4 linked regions of the Oryctolagus cuniculus genome follow. The protein of the gene in region 4 interacts with the protein of the main gene of each other region in a biochemical or structural test. Links are inferred from orthologs where the notes say so. Each region holds a gene or a part of one and is shown on either strand. Other genes may lie near its edges.

Region 1 (4,514 bases), on a different chromosome or scaffold from region 4:
GGGCCTCTGCTCCCGACATCCTGTGAGGCTAATGAATGAGCGTACTGTCACCACTCTCTGTTCTTCACCAGCCCAGCGGGGTGATTCTCTCTTCCCACTTCACTTCTCTGAGACCTCTGTCCGCTGATCTGTAACCACAAAACTGGAATGCCCAATCTCCTCTCTCTGGCTAACCCTACCCAGCCCACTATCACTTGCTCAGGGATATCTGCCCATTCTTCACCCACATCTCCTTTGGACCGGTGACCTGATTATCTAATATCAGTTTTCTCTGCCAGAGTGCAAGCTCTGTGTTAGGATAACGTTTACCAACGTATCCACACCACCTAACACTAGATCTCACATGTAGAAAGAGGTCAACACACATTTACTGGGGCCAGCGCTGTGGAGTAGCCGGTTAAGGGGCCGGCTGCAACACCAGCATATCTTATGGGAGCTCCTTTCTGATCCAGCTCCCTGCGGATGCACCTGGGGAAGCAGTAGAAGTTGGCCCAAGTGCTTGGGCCCCTGCAGCCACATGGGAGACCCAGAAAAAGATCCTGGCCCACCCTGGCCTTTGCAGCCATCTGGGAAGTGAACCAGTGGATGGAAGATCTCTCTCTGTAATTCTACCTTTCAAATAAATAAATCTTTAAATATATATATATATATTTACTGTAAAAATTCCTAATTGATTAATAAATCTTTACCTTAAAGTATAAATGGTTTTCCTGGAATTCCAAAGTAACTCTTAATACATTTCATTTTGTTTTTAAAGAATTATTTATTTGAACACAGAGTGACTGAAAAAGAGGGAGACACAGATCTTTCATCCGCTGGTTCACTCTCCAAATGGCCACAACAGCCAGGGCAGGACCAGGCCACAGCCAGGCGTCAGGAACCCCATCTGGGTCTCCCACATGGGTGCAGGGACCCAGGCACTGGCCCATCTTCCACTGCTTTCGCAGCGCAGCAGCAGGGAGCTGGGTGAGAAGTGCAGCAGCTGGGACCCTCACTGGTAAGGGAAGCTGTGCACAGCGCCGGCCCCCGGTTTGTTTCTAATATAGGGGTCTCCTCTTTCCTCTTTTCCATGTCTAATCCACCACCAGATCTTGCCTTTCGACACCTAAAACCTATCTCCAGGACCCCCAACATTCTCATCCTTCACCCTGGAACCTCGGAACTTGGCTTCTGTCCACTCTTGCCCCCTTCACTACCATCTCCTGCACCTCTCAATCTGAACCCAACGTCAAGCTCTTGCTAAATCCTTCCTACGACTTTCTGCAGTGCTCAGAACAGTGATCTCAACACCGCCCGGTCACTCTGGGCTCCACAGTATCTGGCCCTTCTCCCCCGGTCACTCTGGGCTCCACAGTATCTGAACCCTTCTCCCCCGGTCACTCTGGGCTCCACAGTATCTGGCCCCTCCTCCCGGTCACTCTGGGCTCCACAGTATCTGGCCCCTCCTCCCGGTCACTCTGGGCTCCACAGTATCTGGCCCCTCCTCCCGGTCACTCTGGGCTCCACAGTATCCGAACCCTTCTCTGGGTCACTCTGGGCTCCACAGTATCTGAACCCTCCTCCCGGTCACTCTGGGCTCCACAGTATCTGAACCCTTCTCCCCCAGTCACTCTGGGCTCCACAGTATCTGGCCCCTCCTCCCGGTCACTCTGGGCTCCACAGTATCTGAACCCTTCTCCCCAGTGCCACCTCCAATCCCCCTAACTGTGCTCCAGGCACACCGGCCTCTTCGTGTCCCTTTGCCAGCTGACCCCGGGGCCTTTGCACGCGTCCTGGGCCAGAAACGCCACTCCCTCTGCTCTTGTTAGGGTAGTGCCTTCTTCCTGCTTCACCCTTCCGGAATCACTCTGGCACTACTTTGCATATTAACTGACTTTAATTATTTTTTAAAAAAGTTTGCACCAAAATAAAGGTCTTTTAACCCCATTTTCCACCAGATTTCTAAAATACCATCGCATATATCTTTTATTTTAACGGCCTTCCCTCTCTCCCAAATAGAAAATAAAGTTCTACAAACCCCATTACCATGCCCAGGTGCTCAACAAACCCCTGGGCAGCGCAGAACGCCCCGGGGCCAGCGCTCCCCGACCCCGCCTCGCCACAGCCAATGCTCCCCGACCCCTCCTCTCCGTGGCCGGCGCTCCCCGACGCTGCCTCTCTACGGCCGGGACTCCCCGACCCCCCGACCCCTCCTCTCCGTGGCCGGCCCTCCCCGACCCTGCGACCCCCCCTCTCCGTGGCCGGCCCTCCCCGACCCTGCGACCCCCCCTCTCCGTGGCCGGCCCTCCCCGACCCTGCGACCCCCCCTCTTCGTGGCCGGCCCTCCCCGACCCTGCGACCCCTCCTCCCCGTGGCCTCCCCGTGGCCGGCCCTCCCCGACCCCTCCTCTCCGTGGCTGCCCCCCCCCCGACCCCTCCTCCCCGTGGCCGGTGCTCCCCGACCCTGCGACCCCGCCTCCCCGTGGCCGGCCCTCCCCGACCCCTCCTCTCCGTGGCTGGCCCCCCCCCGACCCCTCCTCCCCGTGGCCGGCCCTCCCCGACCCCTCCTCCCCGTGGCCTCCCCGTGGCCTCCCCGTGGCCGGCCCTCCCCGACCCCTCCTCTCCGTGGCTGGCCCCCCCCGACCCCGCCTCTCCGTGGCCGGCCCTCCCCGACCCCTCCTCTCCGTGGCCGGCGCTCCCCGACCCCGCCTCTCCACCGTGGGCGCACCGACTCGGCAAGCGGCCTTCATTCGCGCTGCCCAAGAGAGAAAACACAGCTGCCAAGCGAGAGCGGGCCAGGAACCCCTGCGGACTCCCCGAGAAGGGGTCGCACGATCGGAACCGCGGCGTCCGATACCTGTCGGAGTCCGCGTCGTCGAACTGGCCGGGCACCACCCGGCCCATCAGGACCCGCCGGTAGTCCATGACCGAGGGCGCCGGGACGGGAACGCCACGCACACGGCCTTCCCTGCGGCCTTCCAACGGCTTTTCCGCGACCCCCACCTCGCAAACGGTTTAGAATCCCACCAGCGGCCAACACCGCCCGCCACGCGCCTCGGAGCGCCGGACCCACAGTCACACAGCGCGCCGCGGCACGTGCCCCGGAAGTCCCGCCCCTCCCGGAAGTGCGGCTCGGCCGGAAGCCCCGCCCCCGCGCCGGGCAGTGGGCCTGGCCGGACGGTGCGCGAGGAGGACCAACCGAAGCGTCAGGTGGGCGGCATCCAGTGGCGGCCGCTCCGCCCCGAGTGTGTGTGTGTGTGTCTGCCGGCGGAGGCGCGCGGCTGCGGGTGCACAGGCCGCTCGGCCTGGGGATCTCGCACTCTCGTAACGTCGCCGCTTTAGGACGAGGGACGCCGAGGCTCGCTCGCCGGCGAGCGCGGGTGGCGTCACACAGGCGCGTTCCAGCCGCGAGCCCCCGGCGAGTTTGTGGCAGCCGTCGTTGGGAGTGGGTGGTGGGTGTTGTCGCTGCCTCTCGACCCTCGGTCTGCAGGGAGGAAGCCGCGGAGTCGCCAGGGTGGGCCCAGGCGGGTCTCTGGGTCCCCGGAGTGAGCACACTTTGGCGTCTTGGAGAGTTTGGTGCGTGGTTTTGGGATGAACGTGAGATAAGTGCAAAGTTCGAAGAAACTTTAAACAGGAAACGGTGGCGTTTCGGTCCCTCACTCCCAGGGCGTGCGCCTTCAGACAGCTTTAAATGGCCCTGGAGTATCCGTCCCAACATTCCAATAACTGATGTTTTAAAATCTACCAGAAATCTGGCGAGGACGTAAATGAAAGGTGGGAGTGTCGTGGAAGAGATCGCGGGCCCGCGCAGCCAGGCCGGTGCCCGGGGTCCGCTCGCAGAGCCGGGGGCCAGGCGCCTTGGCCCCACTCCCGGCCTTCCCCAGGGGTTCAGGTCAAGGGGTCTTAGCGCCGGAAGTTGGGGTCGGCTTCTGCCTGGCCTCGGTGACCCCTCCGCTGGCCAGCGACTTGGAGTCCTTGTGGGGATTCTGAGCGTGGCCAAGTGGGCTCAGTCTGGGGGCTCCGTGCGGGTGGTGGGTAGCGGTTTGCACAGGGCCGGGGGGATTCCTCAACCAGACCCCTGTAGAGGGGATAGGTGACCTAAGTCCTGCGACCTGGACCCTGGGGGCCAGCTGAGCTGTACCCGCCCCTTCAATTTAGTGGGCTTTTTTTTTTTTTTTTTTTAAGAAGGAAAGGAGGGGAGCTTCCATCCCTGGTTCACCCCACAAGTGGCTGTGATGGCTGGGGCTGGCCAGGCTGAAACCAGGAGCCTGGCGCTCCATCCAGGTCCACGTGGGTGCCAGGGGCCCAAGCACTTGGGCCATCATCGCTGCTTTCCCAGGCGCCTTAGCAGAATGCTGGGTCGGAAGTGGAGCAGCCGGGACTCGAACCAGCCCCCACGTGGGATGCTAGCTCTGCAAATGGCAGCCGTACCTGCCACGGCACAGCGCAGGCCCCTGGCGTACTGACTCACACTTTGTGGAATAATGGCATGGATTCAAAATGACTAATCGTCGATAAACTGTTTATCAGTTCAGT
Region 2 (4,066 bases), on a different chromosome or scaffold from region 4:
CCAGCAGACGCTCTGGGCTCCTGGCTTCAGCCTGACCCAGCCCTAGCTGTTGTGGTCAGTTGGGAAGTGAACCAGCGAATGAAGATCTCGCTCTCTTTCAAATAAATAAAAAATAAATCTTAAAAATATATATACATACGTATATGACAAAGGACTGGTATCCAGGATATACAGAATTGTAACAACCCAGTAATAAAAAGAAACCATCAAAATAAACAACAGATTCAAACATAACATCACAACAGATGTGCAAATAGCTAATAAGCATTAGTCATTAGAAAAATACAAACTAAAACTTAAGGAAACACTACCATATACCCACTAAAATCCATAAAATTAAGCAGATTGACAACAACAAATGCTGGTGAGGAAGTGGAGCAATTGGAAGTCTAACATATTGCTATTAGAAGTTTAAAATGGTACAAGCACTTTGAAAAATGGTAGGGCATTTCTTATGAAGTTAAACATATCCTTACCCTATGTAGAATTCTGCATGTCTGCTCCTAAGTATACCCTATGTAGGATTCTGCATGTCTACTCCTAAGTATTTACCCAAGAAAAATCAAAGCTATGTATACAGAGATTTGCATAAGGATGTTCAAAACAGCTTTAAACAAAACATATCATTTTAAAACATACAATTGGACTACTATCCTACAATTAAATTTTTTTTTTTAAATACTGGGGGTGGGCGGCACTCAGCAGGTTAACCCTTTACTTGGGACAGCTTCCTATATTCCGTAACAGAGTGCAGGTTGTTGTACCAGCTGCTCTACTTCTGATCCAGCTCTCTGCTAATGCACCTAGGAAAACAACCCAAGATGGCCAGAGTGTTTGGGGCCCCTGTCACCCACGTGTGAGACCCAGACAGAATCCCTGGCTCCTGGTTTCAGTTGGCCCAGCCTGGGCTGTTGTGGCACTTAGAAAGCGAATCAGCAGTTGGGAGGCACTTCTCTGTGTTGCTCTGCCTTGTTTTAAATAAACAAATCTTTAAAGTAACAAAAAGCAAAACTAAATGTTGATGAATCTCAGGAGCATGCTAAGAAATCTTAAGCAAACATAAAAAAGACATATAGTCTTTTTTTATTCCAAAGAATAAATTCTACTGCAGGCAAAACTACAGTGGAAGAAACACATTGCTTTGGTGGATGTGGAGCTAAAAGTTGACTTGAGATAGCTTAAGGGAACTTCTTGAGGTTTTGGTATTTTACCATGGCAGGGGTTTGGGTTACACTAGTGTATAATTTTTCCACTCTCAGGAAATACACACTGAACTTCACTTAAGAAAGTGAAGTTTGTCTCCCTGGTTTTGGCTAGGGTGACAGGATAAGGATGATAATGCCACCAACTGAGATGCAGAAATAAATACAATGAGCATACACAAACTAATTAGTCAAACCATTTTCTTGAGGCAAGACACAAGAGGGTTTGTATCTACCTAGTACCTAAGACACAGAACGGGATTCAGCACACTCGTTAAAAATTACAGGGAAATTCTGCTAGAACATGTGCTATTTTCAAATGAGACAAACTGAATCTTCAGTGACAAAAAAAAAAAAAAAAAAAAAAAAAAAAAATTCATTAAGATTCAAACGAGCAGGTATGGAGAAATATAAAAATACACTGAGTTCTGAGACTGTTATACAAAGTTATAATTCAAATAAGAATGAACATTCACATTAAATGTCTTCTCTACAAACTCCACCCATAAAGTATAACTGTATTTCAAACATACTAGATGTTAACCACTTATCTGTCTTCAGCACTAAACAAAAAGTTCCAAGGCAGGGATTCTTGCCTTTAAGAAAATTCTATTATCGGCACACAGTAACTGTAACAGGTGCCCCATAACTGGTCAGCACTGCCAGTCTCGACTTGGGAGGAAAGAAACTCGTCAAATACTTCCAACCGCTAGCTTAGTACCAGAAACCACCGCTGGGCTGCAGGCTCAGCCTCCATGTAAAGCACCAAAATCTAACCTATCTGCAAGCAGTTTGGAACTAATTACAAACATCAATAAACAATCCTTTAGTAGGCTCAACTAAGCAACACAATCGCAGAAAGGAAACCGGAGGAATTACCAGCTATGTGTAACCAGCCACAATCAAAAAGTATTGGCTTTTGCCTCATAGTGGGAGATTTTTCTGATCAAAAGTCTAGGGAGCATCGAGAGAGACCAAAAACTTTAAAATCACAACTTGCAAACTAGTTCCTCTCTGATCTAAAACATGCTGCAAGTAGGCTTCCTTATTTCCATGATAAACTCCGTCTTCAGACCCACGGGAGCTCCATGCGCACAATGAGAATGGGTAACTAACGCGAGACCAAGCCACCTTCAAGGCCCCCAAGGCAGCAGGTGACAAGACGCAGCTCGGTCTTCAAGCCCGCCTCTTGGAAGACAGGCGAGGCTGAAGAACGATCGATCACGACCCGGAGCCGCGGCCAAGATGGGGCGCGCGCGGCGGGCGCCGCAGGCCGTTAGCAGGCCGCGCGCACGCGGCTTTCCCGCCTCCGGCCTCGGGACCGCTCAGCTTCCCGAGCCCGGCCCGAACCCTTACGGCTCAGCCCCCGCCTCGCTCGGCCACCTCCTCACCTCACGAGCTTCATCGTAGCGGCGCAATCGTCCTTTCTGCTCGATAACGCAGAGAATGCAACTACCGAGGACCGGCTAGGCGTATGAATGGCCGGAAACGCCTACTCCACGGGCTCCGGACGTAGCGAGCGCGCGGAGCACTGTGGACGTGCGGCGGAAACGCCGAGGCCTTGCTGGGCCACTTTGCCTTCCGGCCAAGGGGAGCGCGACTGCGACCCCTCGCTGCCGGAGGTATGCATTGCAGAGGCTGAGGGCGTGACTGTCTGTCTAAGGAGAGGGCGATTTGAACAGTTAAATCCAATTAGCAGTCGCCATCACGCTTCGGCACGGCGGGGCGCGTTGGCGAAGCACCAAATACAACTTCCTCCGTGAACAAAGAGCGGTTTTGAGAGAAACACAGGTTATTGCGAATTCTGGTCCAACACCAAGAACCTTATTTAGCATTACTGATGAATCTGAAGAAAATTGCAGAATTATGTTTCCGAGACACAGTTGTCTGTTTTCCTCGTACTCAACGTCTCAGTAACATTCAACACACTTCAGTTTTGAAATACCTTCTACCTTTGTTTCCCGGGCCAAGCACTCTGGGTTTCTCCCTAACCCACTAGCTGTTCTGTCTAGGCCTCTGAGTCTTTACACGTGTCAGGATGCTTCAGGGCTTACAGCTGTAGTCCTTTTTAGGAAAACTTTCTCCTTTAGCCTGGGCGATCTCCTCCAAAACTATGGTTTTAATTTGTAAATCTAGATTGAACTTCATCCATGATCACCAGAACTCTAGGATGTTGTAAGGCAATGCTCATCAAACTTTAATGTGCACAGGACAGACCCAAGGAATTTTTTAAATAAAGATTTATTTATTTTGAAAATCAGAGTTAACAGAGAAAGAGGGAGAGTCAGAGATCTTCCAACCATACGTTTTTCCCCAAGTGGCTGCAGCAGCCAAGGCAGAGCCAGGCTGAAGCCAGGAGCCCAGAGCTTCCTCCAGGTCTCCTACAAGGGTGCAGAGGCCCAAGCACTTAGGCCCTCTTCCGCTGCTTTCCCAGGTGCCTTAGCAGGGAGCTGGATCAGAAGTGGAGCAAGCCGGGACTTGAACTGGCACCCATGTGGGATGCTGGTGTTGTAGAGGCGGCTTTACCCGCTATGTCGCACCACCAGCCCCATTGAGGAAATTTGAAGATGAAAATTCTGGTTCAGTTGTTGTAGGGCCTGAAATTCTGCATTTCCAGAAGCCTTCAGTTGAAGATTTCCCTAGTCCATGGATCACAACTTGAGTAGCAAAGCTATGAGGCATATTTGTGAGCAGTCCTCACAACCTCTTCTACTCCCCTTTCTTCTCGAGAGTTCTCAGTATTCTTCTGGAGACGCACGTGGTCCTCAGGAAGCTGACTCTACCCTTTATGTCAATGATCAGGTTCCTTTACTTGTCCACATTAGGACTGATCCGACCAGACCTTTGCATAGAATGTTCTTCCC
Region 3 (4,556 bases), on a different chromosome or scaffold from region 4:
CCCCAAATGCCGCAAAGTGTGTGTGTGCTTTTAAGATTTATTTATTTGAAAGAGTTAAACAGAGAGGAGAGGCAGAGAGAGAGAGAGAGAGGTCTTCCATCTGCTGGTTCACTCCCCAAATGGCCGCCAACGGCCAGAGCTGTGCTGATCAAGAGCCAGGAGCTTCTTCCTAGTCTCCCACGTGGGTGCAGGGGCCCAAGGACTTGGGCCATCTTCTGTTTCACAGGCCATAGCAGAGAGCTGGACAGGAAGTGGAGCAGCCGGGTCTCGAACTGGCACCCATCTGGGATGCCTGAGCTTCAGGCCAGGGTGTTAACCCACTGTGCTACAACGCAGGCCCCACAAAGTGGTTTACAGACAACAAAATTCCTCTAGGGAGGCGCTCTAATGTCCCAAGAGGTCATAAGGTTTCCTGGTGAGCAAGGAGTCCCAGCTTCTGGCTTTTTGCTCCTTAAAGGTTAACATGTGAGTGGCCAGGGCTCCCTGGTTTAATCCTCCGTTTGCAGCGCCGGCATCACATGTGGCCGCCGGGTTCTAGTCCTGGTGGCTCCTCTTCCAGTCCAGCTCTCTGCTTTGGCCCGGGAAGGCAGTGGAGGATAGCCCAAGTGCTTGGACCCTGCACCCACGTGGGAGACCAGGAAGAAACACCTAGCTCCTGACTTCAGATCGGAGCAGCTCCGGCCGTAGCGGCCATTTTGGGAGTGAACCAAGGGAAAGAAGACCTTTCTATCTATCTGTCAAAAAAAAAAAGAAAAAAAGAAAAAGTTAACGTGATTATCACGCGTGGTCGGTGGCCAGCAGGGAAGGCAATGAAGGCCCTTGCTGCATGGGAGGCACCCCTCTTAGTCCTTAGAGGCAAAATGGGGAATAACTGGTGGCAGACCCAAATCTCAGCGTGGGAAGGTCGGAGCCCTGGTCGGATTCCACCACTAGTGCAGAATATTTAACCGTGTCCACACATTGCAGCTGTTTGAACAGCTGCCCTGGTTCCCAATAGACTGTTGTAACTCGAGGTGGGGCGTCGCTGGCTGCTAGGTTGTCTCGTTCGTTGAGGTTGTTAGGGTCTAATTCCAGTGGACCCAGAAAGAGGGTGAAACGTGGCTGGAGCCTCAAACTGCATTCTGAGTTTTGACAGCTCGGCTTCAGACGGTGTCAGGGCCGCTCCGGTATTCGTGTTCTAATGGGGAATGGAGGTTTTGCAGCTGAACACATCGGGTGTGGCAGAGTGGAGCTGGGATTCGGCCCTGCCGGCCCAGCCCGCGTTCCAGGCCGGGCGTTTGCGCGTGGGAGCCACCAGAACCAGTACTCCAGACTGGCTCCGTTTCTCACCGGGTAGGCAGGGGGCTCTGCGGTGGCGACGCGCCCCGCCCCCGGCGTCCTCGTGACCCGGTGTCCCGCCCCCGCGGCCGGGAGCACCCCGGCTGATTGGCCCCTGCGCGGCGTATCCTCAGGCTGGCAGCCAGGCTGGCGCATCACGTGGCCGAGCCGCGTCCAGGGCGCCCAGCCGTGGGCAGCTCGGCATGGACCCGCAGGCCGCCGGGGCCCGGGCACGGGGCGTCACGGAACCGCCTCGGGGCCCGCCGCTACCGAGCACGCGGGAGGCGCCCCGCAGCCTGGAGGTGAGCGCCGCGCGCGGGCCGAGCGCCGCCACCACCTGCAGCCAGTGCGGGAAGTTGGGGGCTCGCGGGGCGGTGCCCGGTGCGGGGCGCGGACAGCGCCACGGGCCGCTCCACAAGCCCTGAGCGCCGTTTGGGCTCGCGCTGGAGCTGGAAACGGCTGGCCGAGGAGCAGCGGGGCTTCGAGGCTGCCGGGCCGGGAGCTCCGAGGGGCGTGGGTGGGCGCGCCGGTCCCACTGAGGCTATTGGCCCACAGGGCGCCTCTGCGTACTTACTAAATGGGAGGTGATGTTGGGGACGGAGAGCTGGGGCCCGCTACTAGGGGCCTGGGCCCCGGCCAGGTGAGGGCTGCAAGGGGAGGGCTTCGCCTGGAGGAGCCCTGTTCACTGACTGAGGGTGGGGGGACGCTCACTATCCCCCGAGCGCTGAGGGGTGGGTGGGTGTCCCATGCACTCTCCGTTTACGGAGACCCGAAGGCCAGGTTTGACGCAGGGTTTGCAGAAACTTGCTTTCAGGTGCGCTCCAGGCAGCCCCCGTGTTTCCGAGACCGCTGTCGCAGTGCTCGCCTGTCCTTGTCTACAGTGTCTGCCTAGACGACAGCTCCTCCGTTTAGGGCTGGGAGCCCAGCGCCTAGCACGCGGGACAGGCGTAGTAATTGGGTGGACACAGCAGAGATGGGCCTTAACCAGAGACGTGCACGCGGCGGCAACGCTTGTAGTCGGGGAGAGCAGGGAGGGCTGCGCGCTGGCTCTCGCAGGTGGGAGTCCGGTGGTGCCTGCGGAGGCTGGCCAGGAAGAAGCGCAGGGCAAGTGGCTCAGAGCTGGGGCGGCGGCGTGGAGAAGCATGCTGAACAGGTCGTGGGGGGCGGGTGCCTTTGTGTTTGCTGGTGGAGGGCTGTTGAAGCTGTTGACCAGAGTGGTGATTAACCCTGTGGGTGGGGGAATTCGGAGGTCAAGGCCTCCTTAGCTTAGCCTCATCCCGCTGGTGGGCAGCCCTGAGCAATTGCTGCTGACCACTGGAAGTGGAATCACTTAAGGGAGGCATGGCTAGGCGAGGAGTGATGATTGGATTGAAACAGGTGCAGTTTAGATGTAGGATCAGAGGAGGTGAGTCTAAATTCTAGACGCCTCGCATTCCTGCCCGTGCGCTGGGAGAGCTCTTAGACGTTAGGTAGTAGGAACCACTCTCCCCTGTTTCCAGGGAAGAAAGCCCAGGGGCTGAAGCCAGGTGGCCCAGACAGTACCCTGAGTGGCAGAGCTGGGGCTGAAGGTGGGGCTTCCTGCGAGCGCTTCTGGGGCAATTAGAGCGTTTGGGAGACTTGTGGGTGCTGGAGGCAGAGAAGCTTCCGGCCGGCTGCAGGGGAGGGTGATTTCCAGCTGGTTTAGAGCTGTTTATTTCAGCCAGCACCACTCAGGACAGAGAGTTCCACTCCCATCCTGTGCCAGTGAGAAGAGGCAAAGAGTTGTGAACTAAATACTAAGTAACCAGAAAGGTCAAAAAGATGTCTGGAGGAAGCAGTGGGCAGGAAACAGCCAGGACAGCTCTGCAGAGCTGAAATCCAACCTGCTGCAGCTGGTGCTGAGGTCTCTGAGCTGGGAGAGTAGGGACCCTGGGCTCCAGACCTCTGACAAGAGGGCCCAGTGATGACACGGCCACCTCAGGTGTCCACACAGCTGTAGCCAGGGGTGCAGCCGTGTTGTTGGGATGGTGCCTGGAGAATTAGAAAGGCCAGCTGGATCTAACAGGGGGAGACAGAAATGTGGATCCCCATCAAGAGTGTGGGACTGGGACTCGACCTGAGAGGCAATGGCTTAGTACCAGGATCCGGGGCACCTGAGTTCCTGGTAATCGGTTGTTCTTCCTGCAGGCCACCTTCGCCACAGCAGACCCCAGTGGTCCAGAGACAGAGGCTGAGACGGCCACGGATCGACTAGGCAAGTAGATGTCGGAGCGGCCGTGATGGTCTCTACGTCTTGTTTCCCTGTTCCTTCTAACCAGCCCTCTGCTGCCGAGGTGCCTCCCCTGTCGCGTTTCAGCAATGCTTTCCGTTGAAAGCCCTGCCCAGGCTACCGTAAGGGAAATCCTGGACTTGGCTTACATCCCAACTCATCTCTTCAACTGAGAGCCAGCTCGCAGCCGTGACACGTGGGGGCTTGGGAGGCAGGCAGAATTGTATTTTCAACTCTGAGAGCCCTGGAATGGAGTATCATGGACTTGACAGTGAGACGAATAAGACCTACTCCCTAGGGTTGTTCTCAGGATTGGGGGACAGAGCGAGGAATCGTGTGGGTCTGTTACAGCAGCCGCTAGCCACAGGTGCAGTTGAAGTTAGTTCTAAGGCAGTACCACAGGAAACTCAGCTTCTCAGGCCACATTCCACGTGCTCAGTAGCCACGTGTGGGTAGTGCTGCCTTGTTGGACAGCAGTGATGCTAGAACATTTCCGTCTCGGCAGGAAGTTCGAATGGGAAGTGTTGGTCTAGATCACGCAGTCGCAGGTGTAACAGTCCCAGTAATGGAAACCTTTGAGCGCTCCTGTCGACAGGTGTAGTCTGTTTCTATTGTTTCCTTTCCCCCCCCCCACATCTCACAACAAACCTGTCTCCATTTTACAAATGAGGAAACAGATACAGCGTAGTTAATACAAAAAAAAAGTTTTTTTAAAATTTTATGTACTTGAAAAGTAGAATGAGGGGGTGGGGAAAGAGGGAGATATCTTCCTCTGGTTTACTCCCCAAATGGCCTCATTGTCTGGGGCTGGCCCAGGCTGAAGCCAGGAGCCTGTAACTCCACTGGGGTCTCCCCCAGGGGTGGCAGGGGCTCAAGCACTAGGGTCATCTTCCTCTGTCTTCCCAGGGACATCAGCAGGGAGCTGGATAAGATGTGGAGCAGCAGGGACTTGAAACAGCACCCATATGGGATGCTGGTATTACAGGTGGCA
Region 4 (3,597 bases):
CATTGCCTCAGCCGCACTGCCTGGTCCCGTAAGTCACACACCTTCAGTTCAAATCCATGCCCCAGACTTAGCACTGCAGCGGGAAACTTCTCAGGTGATGGGTGCAGCAGTACTCCCAGACTTCTAACCAGGAGAAGGGAGCATTCTCTCCCCTCACTTCCCTAGGGCTTCCAGTACCCCTGCAGGCTTCAGCTGCCTGACACAGGTGCTAAGCGCCAGTTAGAGAACCTGAGTTCCCGTTTTGATTTGGGCGCGTAGGCACATTATGCCGTTGAAGACTTCATCTCCCCAGGCTGTAAGGCCGAAAATTGAACTAGATGATCTGATTTCAAACCCTAACCTGCTGATTTTATTCAAACCCAATACTTGGCTTGCCTGGATGGCTTCCAGTTTTTCCCCAAGAGCTGGCAGTGTGGCAACTCAGTTAGGTGGAAGGGAAGCTGGCTTCACGCCCTTTCTCTGTCCAAGGCAACGAACTCTATGCCTTTTCCCCAGAGAAAAGCCTGACACAGACCCTACTGGACAAGGGCTCGCTCTAGCTGGTTAGAAAGGCCCATGTCCAGGAGTCACTGCTCACCCAAGTAGGAAATAAAGCTCGGCCCCTATGGGTCTTGAAAGGGTAAGGGCACAGGCCTGAAAATGCCTGGGTCTAAAAGGTGTGGGCAAATAGAAGCAGTGAACAGCAGATCAGAGCAAGAAAGGGCCATAACTTCACTTTATTTGTATTTCCTCTTACACAAAACCATCAAAACAAGAACAGAGAGGAGCAGAGGAAGGACTGAAAATGTTTCAATCCACACGTTCTCAGGGCTATTCCAGGAAGTTCTTGAGGCTGAGTGCCTGTCGGTGTAGCTTCAGGTCCCAGACTACCAATTCCTCATGTCCTGATCTGAGGTCTTCACAGATTGCTGGCTTTAGCCTTGCAATTAATTCTTATCCTTTGCCCACCTCGATGGAAGGCAGGAAATCAGACTGAAATGCTCCTCTCTCTCGGGCAAGCGGAATCACAGCCCAGAGATGTACAGCACCTTCTGTGCTACAAGAGCAGAACCTGAAGCCGCTTTCAAGGCTCTGGACACTTGCACGGAGCATCAGAGGCCAATGGTGTATGAGCGGCCGGTAGGGTTGTGAATAGCAGAACAAACTGGTGCTGTCACAGCCCATTCGTACCACACCTTCTTGGAGTTGCTGCATCGCCAGAAACGCACACAAATAGTCTGGCCTTCACGCACTGTAATGGGTTGCTGCAAGAAGCAAGATAGGGAGGTTTGATGTGGAGCTAATAAATTATTTGTGACAGCATATTAAGGTAGGTGTGGAGCTAAAATGATAAACCCAACAGACTGTTTCCAACCCTCATGAAGCTTACTTAAAGTCTATCAGAACACTCAGCAGACACTGAGCAAATCATCAAAACTATGGTAAATCAGGGGCTTATGAAAACACCTATGAGGAGCTGGCGCTGTGGCACAGCAGACTGAGCTGCCATCCTGCAGAGCGTCAGTTCAAGACCAGGCTGTACCGCTTACAATACAACTCCCTGCTAATGCCCCTGGGAAAGCAGAAGATGGCCCAAGTGCCACCCATGTGGGAGACCTGGAGAGAGTTCCAGGTTCATGGCTTTGACCTGGCCACTTGGGTAGTGAACCAGTAGATGGAAGATCTCTCCATCCCTCCCTCCTTCTTTATGACTCTGCCTTTAAAAATACATAAATAAATCTTAAAGACTACAATTTAAAACACCTGTGAAAGGTGGTCAGGGAAAGTTTATCTGATAATAAAAATGCACAAGGAGACCTCCAGGAGAGGTTGACTGGAGGAAAACATGAGCAAAGAACCTGCCAGGCTAGGAGAGAGGTGAGAAAACCTGAGGGAAGAAAGAGGATGGGCACTTAGAGGAACCAGAAGGTCTGCAGGGCTGAAGCCATGTAAGCAACAGGACAGTCTCTGAAAAGGCAAGTAAGGCGAGACACTCCAAGGCTTGTAAGCAATGTTCCGGATTTTGATCTTTATCCTAAGGGTTATGAGAAGGCATTGAAGTGTTTTAGACAGGGGAGAGATAAAGGATAAAGTCATAGTTTTTTTTGTTTTTTTTTTTTTTTTTAAGAAAAAAAGAGAGAGAGAGGGAGGGAAGGAGAGGTAGAGAGAGGTAAAGAGAGAGGGAGAGGGAGAGGGAAAAAGAGAGATTGGACAGAAGAGTAGCCAGGAGAGATGTAGGTAGAAGGCTCTTGCAGATAATTCCAGCACCTACAAGTGGAATAGAAGAGCTTGTAAGAGCAGAACACTGGGTCACAGGTATCAGCTTAGGAGAGGGAAGGGGGCACAACACCAATGGCACAAGCTACTCCTTAACTGTCAGTCTTAAAGGTGATTCCTACCTTAATGGGGAAGAGGATGGGAAACCAAGAGAACATCCCAGGAGAGTGAGTCTCTGGACGGATACCTGTGTGGACAAATGAAAAACACCCCGTTCTCCAAGACTGAGCCTTTTATCTAGGAGAGGCTGTTCTGTGATCATAAGCAACCAAAGATCTCCATTCATGGACTCCTGGGCTCCCCAGGAATCCAAAGGAGACACAAACACAAGCCCGCACCACACCCGCATATCCTGCCATCCACAGCCCAAGACACTCACTCAGAGTGATGTCCCGATAAAGCACAGTCTCGAAGTAGCCCGCGAAGCCATGCAGCACCGTGTTCACCTCCACGGGGAACTCCAAGGTGCAGTAGCGGTTGTTGTCAATCAGAGGATCTGCAAGGAAAAGAACTCTATGGATGATGAGGGACCGGAAGCCCTAGGCCACTTGGTGAAGCTTGGACCATGTAAGGTGGACGGGACAGCAAGGGGAGAAAGCAGGGGGGTGAGGACAGAGGCCACGCAGGAACCCACCTCTGTTGGGATGGCTGAAGGTGAAACAGGGCTGAGGCGCAGAGAGCTGGTGGAAGTTGTGCAGCCGCACCACATAAGGCATCTCAAACTGGGCCTGTCCCGCGTAAGAAAGAGCAAGAGGGAGAGCTGGAGGAGACAGGCAAGAGAGCCTACCTCCTCAGGGAAACACTCAAAAGCCCAGGGGTACAGAGAGAAACACAGTTTCCCTTGATCCACTTCCCCCCATCCCCATTTCTCCATCTCCTCATCTTCTCCAGGAGCGGAATACTACTTTGTCCTTCCCCAGGACGGTGGCTCTTTACCTCAGGGTCACGGTCCTTTTCCCGACAGGCTCGAACCTCATTGTACAGCTTGGAGGAGGAGATGGGAGCCAGGAAGGAGGTGTACTCCCCAGGGATGCTCACGCCATCATCTGCAGAGCAGGAGGGTCAGATTCCCAAGGGAGGGAAATGAGCTGTGCCTGCACTAACCAAAGCCTCAGACCTCCCACGTCCACATAGACCAAGGCTGGCATGAGAATGGCAGAAGTCACTAAGTGCTGTCACATCCAGGCTGGCCTGTCCCTAACTCCTAACATGGGGGAAATCTACCTCTAGATTAATGTACAGAATAACACAAGCTTAAAACCAAAGGAGGGCCGGCGCCGCGGCTCAATAGGCTAATCCTCCACCTAGCAGCGCCAGCACACCGGGTTCTAGTCCCGGTCG

The links.
Region 1: the proteins of PRMT5 (region 4) and RIOK1 are reported together in a solved structure, tested with the Homo sapiens proteins (2 studies listed by BioGRID, with this or other methods). The link is inferred for Oryctolagus cuniculus from reciprocal best matches to the Homo sapiens genes PRMT5 and RIOK1.
Region 2: the proteins of PRMT5 (region 4) and SNRPD1 form a complex in vitro, tested with the Homo sapiens proteins (2 studies listed by BioGRID, with this or other methods). The link is inferred for Oryctolagus cuniculus from reciprocal best matches to the Homo sapiens genes PRMT5 and SNRPD1.
Region 3: the proteins of PRMT5 (region 4) and COPRS form a complex in vitro, tested with the Homo sapiens proteins (3 studies listed by BioGRID, with this or other methods). The link is inferred for Oryctolagus cuniculus from reciprocal best matches to the Homo sapiens genes PRMT5 and COPRS.

Annotation. Positions count from the first base shown.
Region 1 is NC_091436.1:163,183,736-163,188,249, forward strand, and holds the start of RIOK1 (serine/threonine-protein kinase RIO1), read right to left. Parts: upstream 2,970-4,514; 5' UTR 2,904-2,969; coding exon 2,836-2,903; intron 1-2,835. UniProt on the Homo sapiens protein: Involved in the final steps of cytoplasmic maturation of the 40S ribosomal subunit. Involved in processing of 18S-E pre-rRNA to the mature 18S rRNA. Required for the recycling of NOB1 and PNO1 from the late 40S precursor.
Region 2 is NC_091441.1:56,034,661-56,038,726, forward strand, and holds the start of SNRPD1 (small nuclear ribonucleoprotein Sm D1), read right to left. Parts: upstream 2,801-4,066; 5' UTR 2,608-2,800; coding exon 2,594-2,607; intron 2,508-2,593; exon of another isoform or gene 2,334-2,507; intron 1-2,333. UniProt on the Homo sapiens protein: Plays a role in pre-mRNA splicing as a core component of the spliceosomal U1, U2, U4 and U5 small nuclear ribonucleoproteins (snRNPs), the building blocks of the spliceosome.
Region 3 is NC_091448.1:42,255,642-42,260,197, forward strand, and holds the start of COPRS (coordinator of PRMT5 and differentiation stimulator), read left to right. Parts: upstream 1-1,428; 5' UTR 1,429-1,520; coding exon 1,521-1,619; intron 1,620-1,709; exon of another isoform or gene 1,710-1,894; coding exon of another isoform or gene 1,895-1,957; intron 1,958-3,483; coding exon 3,484-3,550; intron 3,551-4,556. UniProt on the Homo sapiens protein: Histone-binding protein required for histone H4 methyltransferase activity of PRMT5.
Region 4 is NC_091443.1:52,089,151-52,092,747, reverse strand, and holds the end of PRMT5 (protein arginine N-methyltransferase 5), read right to left. Parts: intron 3,303-3,597; coding exon 3,193-3,302; intron 2,985-3,192; coding exon 2,891-2,984; intron 2,753-2,890; coding exon 2,636-2,752; intron 2,444-2,635; coding exon 2,379-2,443; intron 1,245-2,378; coding exon 1,092-1,244; 3' UTR 688-1,091; downstream 1-687. UniProt on the Homo sapiens protein: Arginine methyltransferase that can both catalyze the formation of omega-N monomethylarginine (MMA) and symmetrical dimethylarginine (sDMA), with a preference for the formation of MMA.